2 linked regions of the Caenorhabditis elegans genome follow. The protein of the gene in region 1 interacts with the protein of each later gene in a pairwise test. Each region holds a gene or a part of one and is shown in the gene's direction. Other genes may lie near its edges.

Region 1 (4,204 bases):
TGCAGTGATCGATGCAATCCAAAATCAAACGAGATTGGATCGAGTATCAGTATGACTGGTGCATGTGCTTCTTTCTCAATGACAGATGGATGGGGAGGTAGTACACAGAGTGTAGCATGTCAAGTTCCGGCTTCATCAAATAGAGCACTTTATCTCCCATTTTTGTTGTATGGTCTTGGAAGAAGTCCAAATTTTGTGGATGAGGTAATTTCATATCTTCTAGATATTTTCGTTCAATTATTCCAAATAATCTTTTTTTCAGTTGAATATTGCCATTCCGAAATACGCAGATCGTAAAGAAGATTGGAAACACAGTCTTAAACAGATTGTTCCAAATTCTCGGATTATTGTTCTCCCACCATCGGATCAATATCCACACTGGACGAGTCGGCTCTACGTCACACCATCAGCTCTTATTGTTCAGGTAAGATTATTATGGAGACGTGGACATACGCTCCAAATGGGAACGACGGAAATTGATAAAATAAAATTAAAAAATAAAAGAAAAAAACTTTTCATTTTTAATGCATTCTTTAAACATAATTTCGGCATAAAAATCATTAAAACTAACGAAAAACATTTCAAAATGGTTGCAAATACGAATTCGTTGAATTCACGGGTTTGCTGCCAAATAACTAACGAGACCCATGGCTCGGGGGCGGAGCGTAGTCAGTTGGCCATGGGGCACATTTCCACGTCTCTATAATAAATCGATATTCTCATTTTCCAGAGTCTTGCCGTCATTGCTCTCGTATGCTGTATGCTTCTAATGGTTGTCGTATTCTTACATTATCGAGAGAAAAAGGAAGATCGATACGAACGACAACAACAATCTCATCGATTCCATTTCGATGCCATGTAGATTTTTTTGTGAATTTTAAGATCATATCTTCTTGAAGACGAGATCGTTTTTTACGGGTTCCCATCATTTGTCTCTTTTTTTGCATATTTGACCTTTTGAAGCTTCATCCTGTGTTTAGATTTCCCATTTCGAGCTGTGATTGCACGTCGGAGTATTTTTAGAGATCAGCTTTAAATCCGAGTTTTCCTTGTTTGAAAATAGAAACATTATTTGAAAACAACTGTAATATTTATTCCACGTGACCCCTTACCCTCCATCACTCTCTTTATAAACTGAACAGAGACTTTTTCGTTTTTTTGACGAACTATTAAAATAAAACTTTTTGAATTTTTTCCTAATGAAGTCAAATCCAAAATATTTTCTAATGAATGACGTGGAGCGGCAGAGCAAATATTCGCCGAAATATGTGAGTTTTCTTCAAATTTTTGTTAACTTTAACAAAAAGTTTCCAATTTCAGGTTCCAAACAACAGTCTGAAAGAGCGAATTCTGGAGTTTTTGGATTATTACATTGCGCCATTGAAACTGTAAGTTTCATTTTATGGAAAATTCTCATAAAAAACTCAATATTTTCAGGTATCTTCTGTCTTACCCGATGCCGGATTGCCTTTGGGACAATCGAAAATTGAGGTATTACATCGGAAAATCGTTGCAATGACATGGAACCCACATTCATTTTTTTCAGATTGAAGGCCAGTGGTGTGCAAGTGACTCCGAGCTCCGAACCAGTTCATATCGATGATCGTCTAATTCACATTTCACAGAAACAACCGTCCGAATGATTTTTCGATTTTTATTTAATAAAGTTTTAGAAATTATTTCATTTTTTTCAAGTTTTATCCGTGTTCTAATGGTTTTCTATTACCTTATTATTATTTCTTCAGTTCTCCAAAAAAAAATATTACCCAGACATAAAATGTTGAGGTTTTGTAACCTGGGTCTCGCCCCGAGAAAATTTTGTTAAATGCAGAAAGTTGTGCGCCTTTGGAGTACTGTAATAAACACTTTCGGAATTTTCATAATCGAATCAAAAAAGTTATTTATTAAAGAACTTAACTCCTATCAAGTCGAGAAAACACTGTAGAAAAACAATAAAAATTTGTATCCATTTTTACTTGAAAAATTAAAAAAACTGCAAAAGGCTAGACATTTCTTTTTAAAATTTCAAACTTTAAATGCAAATAAACCTAAAACTTCTTTTTTTTTCAGAAATAATGTCGGATCAGCTGGAAGCCTCTATCAAGAATATTCTCGAACAAAAAACGCTAAAATGGATTTTTGTGGGTGGAAAGGGAGGTGTCGGAAAGACGACATGCAGTTGCTCATTGGCAGCTCAACTCTCAAAAGTTCGTGAGAGAGTTCTTCTCATCTCCACCGATCCCGCCCACAACATTTCTGATGCCTTCAGTCAGAAATTCACAAAAACTCCAACACTGGTCGAAGGTTTCAAAAATCTCTTTGCAATGGAAATCGATTCAAATCCGAACGGAGAAGGCGTCGAAATGGGGAATATCGAAGAAATGCTGCAAAATGCTGCACAAAACGAAGGTGGAAGCGGTGGATTCTCGATGGGAAAAGATTTTCTTCAAAGTTTTGCTGGAGGACTTCCTGGGATTGATGAGGCAATGAGTTTCGGGGAAATGATAAAGTGAGTGTCAATGATTCTGATTTTTAAAAAATCTATTATTTTTTTCAGGTTGATAGACTCTCTTGACTTCGACGTTGTGGTCTTTGACACCGCTCCAACTGGGCACACTCTTCGTCTTCTTCAATTCCCAACACTTTTGGAAAAAGTATTTACGAAAATTCTGTCACTTCAAGGAATGTTTGGACCAATGATGAATCAATTCGGTGGAATGTTTGGAATGGGAGGTGGATCAATGAATGAAATGATTGAAAAGATGACAACGACTCTAGAATCTGTGAAAAAGATGAACGCACAGTTTAAGGATCCTGTTAGTTTTTCAGATTCAAGTGATATTTAAAATTACTACGGAGATATATCACCCAGACGCGAAAATTGTCGTAAAATTCTGCATCTTGGTAATATGTTTTTTTAACCTTTTCAATTATATCAAGGGTAAATTCTAGCTTGATATATATTGAATTCAGAGATTTTAAATCATCAAAGTTTCTGCAGAGCATTCAAATATGTATTTACAGAATTGCACCACATTCGTCTGCGTCTGCATTGCCGAATTCCTCTCTCTTTACGAAACCGAACGACTTATTCAGGAGTTGTCCAAACAAGGAATCGATACTCATAATATTATTGTGAATCAACTTCTCTTTCCGGATACCGATGCAAATGGAACAGTTTCATGCAGAAAATGTGCATCGAGACAGGCGATTCAGTCGAAATACTTGACAGATGTGAGTTTAAATGAGAAGTTTGATAAATTATTAAATTAGAAACTTTGAGCAAATTAATATTGAATAACCACAGTGCATTTTTGACTCTGTCGTGATTTGCTAGATGCGGAATAAATCAATTTTTCCAGATCGATGAGCTCTACGAGGATTTCCACGTCGTCAAACTTCCACTTCTTGAGGCAGAAGTGCGTGGAGGGCCCGCAATTCTTCAGTTCAGCGAACGGATGGTGGATCCTGAAGCTAACAAAAACTAAACTAATTTGTTCTCCTACAAAATCAACTTGTTCTGTGGTTTTTTATGTTAAAAGATTCTTCCTATCCCATGTTTTTTCTCCAAAATTCCCTGTCCCCTTATTTCTCGCTTTATTGTGGGTGCCTTTTTCGAATCAAATGAATAATTTATGATATTCATTGTTTTTTACTTAGGATTGAAGTATATTTGGAACATAATTATCTTTCAAACTTCAGCCTGGCAAACTATTTTTGTCAAGTAATCATTTTAATTAGCTAGATTTTAGACGTAATTTCTTTCAAATAGTACCTAGTATTAGGCAGCCGACAGGTCATGGGACCAAGCAGTACATTTTTCCGACTGCTAGACTTCATCCGACACTTACCTAGATTCAGAGAATTCAATTTTCACACAACTTGTTAAAATCTCTAGTTTACGAGCTTGTTTTTAACCAGACTTATGGATCCTGAGAATGGAGGGCCATGGAGCCTCCATGGAGGGGATGGCAGTTGGAGATACAATGATTTTGGAGTAATTTTACCTTCGTATTATTTTTCATGTGATTTCATTTTCAATTCACTTAGCCCCGTTTCCTAATGTTCAAGTTGCTATTTCCAATTTATTTTCCTTGGTCCACTTCATATTCCTTGGAATTTTTTCTGCATTCAAATTACCAAATAGCCACGTGCAATATCCCATTCTCTGCAGTTTTGAAATTTGAATTTATACAATAAACAT
Region 2 (4,107 bases), 4.0 Mb from region 1:
GGGCATGAATAAATAATAATTACATGATCTCAAGATATCATCTCTCCAAAATTTATTTGACTTTATCCAGACCATGTGTTCTATCGTAGTTTCGTATACCTTCGAGGCCTCCAATAAACTCTCCGCACACGAATACCTGAAACGTTTTTAAAAATAACTACTTTATCTCAGTTTTGTGGTTAATAAAAAACTGTCGTTAAGAAAAGCGTTCGGAAAAATATGAAACTTACATATGGGGATTTTTTGGTTTTAAATCGATTTTCCATCACTTTCAATACTTCTTCACCAGGCCAATCTGACTGCTTATCATGCTCAAAAACTTGAAATTTCGAGATATCGAGTCGATATGTTGACACCAATTGACAAACTTTTCTGTAAAACCTAATGTTTTTTGTTGAAAATGCCTTTCATTATACCTAAACTCTGGACAGTTGCTTTCTCCAAAAACCACAATTGGCGCTGAGTCCGGAATATTCTCCACAATTTTGATGGCTTTCTCGTTTTTATTGATAATTGATGTTTTTAATACAGACGATGTTGATGACGAGTGGCCAAGTACGTTACAAGTCTGAAAATTTATTTCTGTTAATTTCAAAATTCAAAAAGAGTAGAAAAGAATTAATAAATAAATAAAAAGTTCGTTCCGTGAAGCTCTACAAACTGCGTGTTTGTTTTTTTTTGTTGTTCAATATGAAAATCTTCGATTGAAATCAGTTTGGATTTTAGTTTCAAAGATGGCGGATGCAAATGCAACGATCTGTTATTTGAATGGTCTTTCTCTTCATACCATCAATGAAGTCGAGAAGGTATGTTTTTCAATGAAATTTTCAGACTTTCATTCTAAATCATTCAGATTTTGCTCGCTTTGCCAAAGAAAGGGGACCGCTGTGAAGTGCAAGTGACCAAACCGTTGAATGGAACCATCGGACGTAGTACTGGGGATGTCATTGCTTCAAAGGTTCAGTAGATGCCGGCTCAATTTTTAATAAAATTGCAAATTTCTAGAGCATGCAGATCCATGATGAGCCAAGACCATTGTCTCTGTCACCGCCTCTGCAGAAATCTGAGAAATCTTCGAAGAGCAAGAAACTTTCCGAGTACAGTTGCATGAGTTCGACTAAGGAACAAATGGAGACTGTGGTATTGCTCTTCAAAAAAAGTCCCCAAAATAATAATAGTTTTTTGAAGGAAATTCGCAACGGTTCCAATGCTTCTGCGGCAAAGAAACTCCAATGCAAGGTCTTGACTGATCAAGTTCGTGTCTCGCCAATCGTCTCGTGCAACGGAGTGATTTTGGAGTTGGATGTTGAAGTCACAATTCCTGATCGTGAGGAGAAGAAGAAATTGAAGTTGGAGATCGAGTGCCCCGATTTTGTGCCAGCTCGCATCAAAATTGGCAACAAATGGAAGAAAATTGTTTGAGCGAAAAAGAGTACGATTTGGAGGCAATAAATATTTTGTATTTGATTAAAGTAACTACCTTTTCTTGTTCTTCATATTCTCGTTGCCTTTTTTCGGCTTCTTCTTTCAGTTTCTCTTCACGTTTTGATGTTTCAATTTTCTCTTTCTCGTCGTGCTCTCGTTGTTGTTTCTGTCTTGCCAATCGCATCTTATCGGCTTCTCTGTCTTGAACTTGTCTATCTGAAACGTTTTATTGATGGATAAATCTGTGGTTTTCTTACCGAACTTTTTCTGCTCGATAAGCCTTCGTTCTTCTTCTCTCGCTACCATTAAGTCATAAATATACTTCTTGAAAAGAATGTATATTAAGATCACAACAAAAACTGTCATCCATCCGTAAACTTCAAGAAACGCCCAGGTGCTTGTTCGAAGATCTATAATTATATCGCTTAAATATATGCTCAACAGTTGAACTATTGAAATTCTCGTTATTACCTTGAAGAGTACCCATATTGCTTTAATAAACGTTGAATTATAGCGAAAAAACACCAAAAATTGACAACTTGTCTTGTCCGAGAGGAGTACACGACATTCGGATTCTCGGCCGTGGCCTAGAATATTAGTCAATTTTTGTGCATTTCCACGATTTTTCAACCAGTTTTATTTAACTTTTTTTTCGTCTCTAAAACCACAAAATCGAAATAAAATTTTGAGTTTTCTTGTAAAATATCTTATTTGAAATATTCTGAATACATTTTCTCTTTTTTTGAGATCAAATGGACGCCACAACTCTTTCGAGATTGTCAGAGTTTGAAAAAGAGAAAAAGTTTTATGATGCTCTTCAATTCTACCGGACCAAGGTCACACGCAGTTTCCGATTGAAAAATGCAAATGAAGTGGCTATTCCACTCGTTAAACACGCACTGGAATTCTTCTTCAGAGGTTTGAAAACCAAAATAGAAAATCAAATCTTTTTTATTTTCAGAAAAACAATATCAATGCGCCATCGATATCACCACACAATATGCCGAGTGTCTCTCGAAAAATAACGTTGATCTTGGAGAAGAAGCCTTCAATATTCTTGCTGATAGCGTCTCAAAGTTCGCTAATTTTGCAGAGATTGAGAACGAGGCTGGAAATTCAGAACCCGAACAGTTGTTGAACACTGCACGTTGTAAATGTGTTGACTTGGCCATTCAATGGTAGGTTTATTTGTCGAGGCAATTAAAATATTATTTGATTATTTAATTCAGGACAAAGCAAAAAGCAACCACTCCGATTGAGAAGAAATACGGTTCCGCAGCCTTTCATACTGTTCTCGCCAAAAAGCTAGTTGCCGTCGATCATGTGGAACTTGCCAAAAATCATTTCTTGCTTTCCGATGACTTTAAATCATTCGCCAATTTCCTTCACCAAGAATATGAAAGCTTTAAACAAAAAGAGTCTGAACCAGAAGTCATTATTGTTGAAGCCGTTTTTCAGTCACTCTGTCTCGATCGTTTCCCATTTGCCGTATCTCTTTTCACTGAATACGTGGCTCCTGCCAAGTATCCGTTCACAAAGCCATTGCTCAATTTCCAGCACATATTATTTGACGTTATTGAGACGGAAAACGTGAGTTGAAAACGAACACTGACTTTTAAAAACTGTTTTTCCAGCAACCTCAATATTCGGAGCTCACCTCTAGCTATCAAACAGAATTGAAAAGGTCCCTCGCATTCATTGGATATCTCACGAGAATTGGGAAGCTCTATTTCGGAATTCGTGATAATCAATGCATGAGCGGCGGTCTGGGTGGACTTTTTTCAGGTTCGCTTAAAATTTTAATTTAAAAAAATAATTAACACATTTATTTTAGGACTTCTTGGTGGTCAAAAAGAGGAAGAAACTGCAACTTCTCATATCACTTCTCGGACTCCAGCTCGTCAAAAGCCAGCTGCCATGTCTCAACCTTCTCCATTCGGTCCATTTGGCGCTCTTGCTGGTGCACCGGCTCCAGCTCCAGTTCCAAAGAAAATTCAAAAAGTTGAAATGGAAGAGGATCTCGATTAAGTTTAGATTTCATGTTAAACTATACCTTTTCTTATTGAAAATTGCTCCTTATTTACTGGAAATATTCCCCGATTACCCCTTTTTGTTCCGCTCTTCTTTCATGTGATATTGGGTTTAACTGATGCTTTTTATTGAATATAAAAATTCGAGTTTATTGGTGATAATAGGATCCCACAGTGGAAAACGTTCTGAATAGATAAATACGAGCCGTTGCAAAAAATGAACAAATAATTAAGAAACAACAACAAACGGGGATGATAGAAGAAAACACCGGTGCTCACATCTTGTTGACTTCGCGAAGTCCGAGAATCTTGAAGCATGTTGACATGACTTTTCGGGTAACATCACACAAAGCGAGACGATGCATATGGACAAATGGTTTTTCTGAAAATAAGATTCCATAAATTATTTAAAAGGCTCGACATGTAATTACACACATACCTCCTTCCTTATTTTCAATAACGTAACACTCGTTGTAGAAGTCGTGGAACAGAGTGGCCAACTGATATACGTAGTCGCACATTTGATGAAGCATAAGACTGTCCAAAACAAGAAGAACACAATCCGAGAGCTTCAACAATTGTTTGGCGAGTTTAAACTCTCCTGGATGATCCAATGGGAGTGTTGGTGTACTCGCAATGTATTTGACCAAAT

The links.
Region 2: the proteins of asna-1 (region 1) and cee-1 interact in a two-hybrid assay, tested with the Caenorhabditis elegans proteins (2 studies listed by BioGRID).

The regions. Positions count from the first base shown.
Region 1 is NC_003281.10:8,893,014-8,897,217, forward strand, and holds asna-1 (ATPase asna-1), read left to right. Parts: upstream 1-2,068; 5' UTR 2,069-2,075; coding exon 2,076-2,509; intron 2,510-2,557; coding exon 2,558-2,816; intron 2,817-3,024; coding exon 3,025-3,234; intron 3,235-3,362; coding exon 3,363-3,488; 3' UTR 3,489-3,641; downstream 3,642-4,204. Other genes in the region: lnkn-1 (Protein linkin), read left to right, coding at 1-204, 263-424, 731-862; ZK637.4 (uncharacterized protein), read left to right, coding at 1,200-1,268, 1,321-1,388, 1,438-1,491, 1,547-1,643. UniProt on the Caenorhabditis elegans protein: ATPase required for the post-translational delivery of tail-anchored (TA) proteins to the endoplasmic reticulum. Recognizes and selectively binds the transmembrane domain of TA proteins in the cytosol.
Region 2 is NC_003281.10:4,910,527-4,914,633, forward strand, and holds cee-1 (Get4 family protein), read left to right. Parts: upstream 1-2,172; 5' UTR 2,173-2,177; coding exon 2,178-2,343; intron 2,344-2,386; coding exon 2,387-2,603; intron 2,604-2,654; coding exon 2,655-3,015; intron 3,016-3,059; coding exon 3,060-3,210; intron 3,211-3,259; coding exon 3,260-3,453; 3' UTR 3,454-3,607; downstream 3,608-4,107. Other genes in the region: F26F4.9 (Glutaredoxin domain-containing protein), read right to left, coding at 53-136, 231-372, 417-568, 1,481-1,641, 1,683-1,835, 1,897-1,912; F26F4.2 (PDZ domain-containing protein), read left to right, coding at 735-806, 854-958, 1,006-1,140, 1,189-1,422; rars-1 (putative arginine--tRNA ligase, cytoplasmic), read right to left, coding at 3,731-3,837, 3,895-4,107.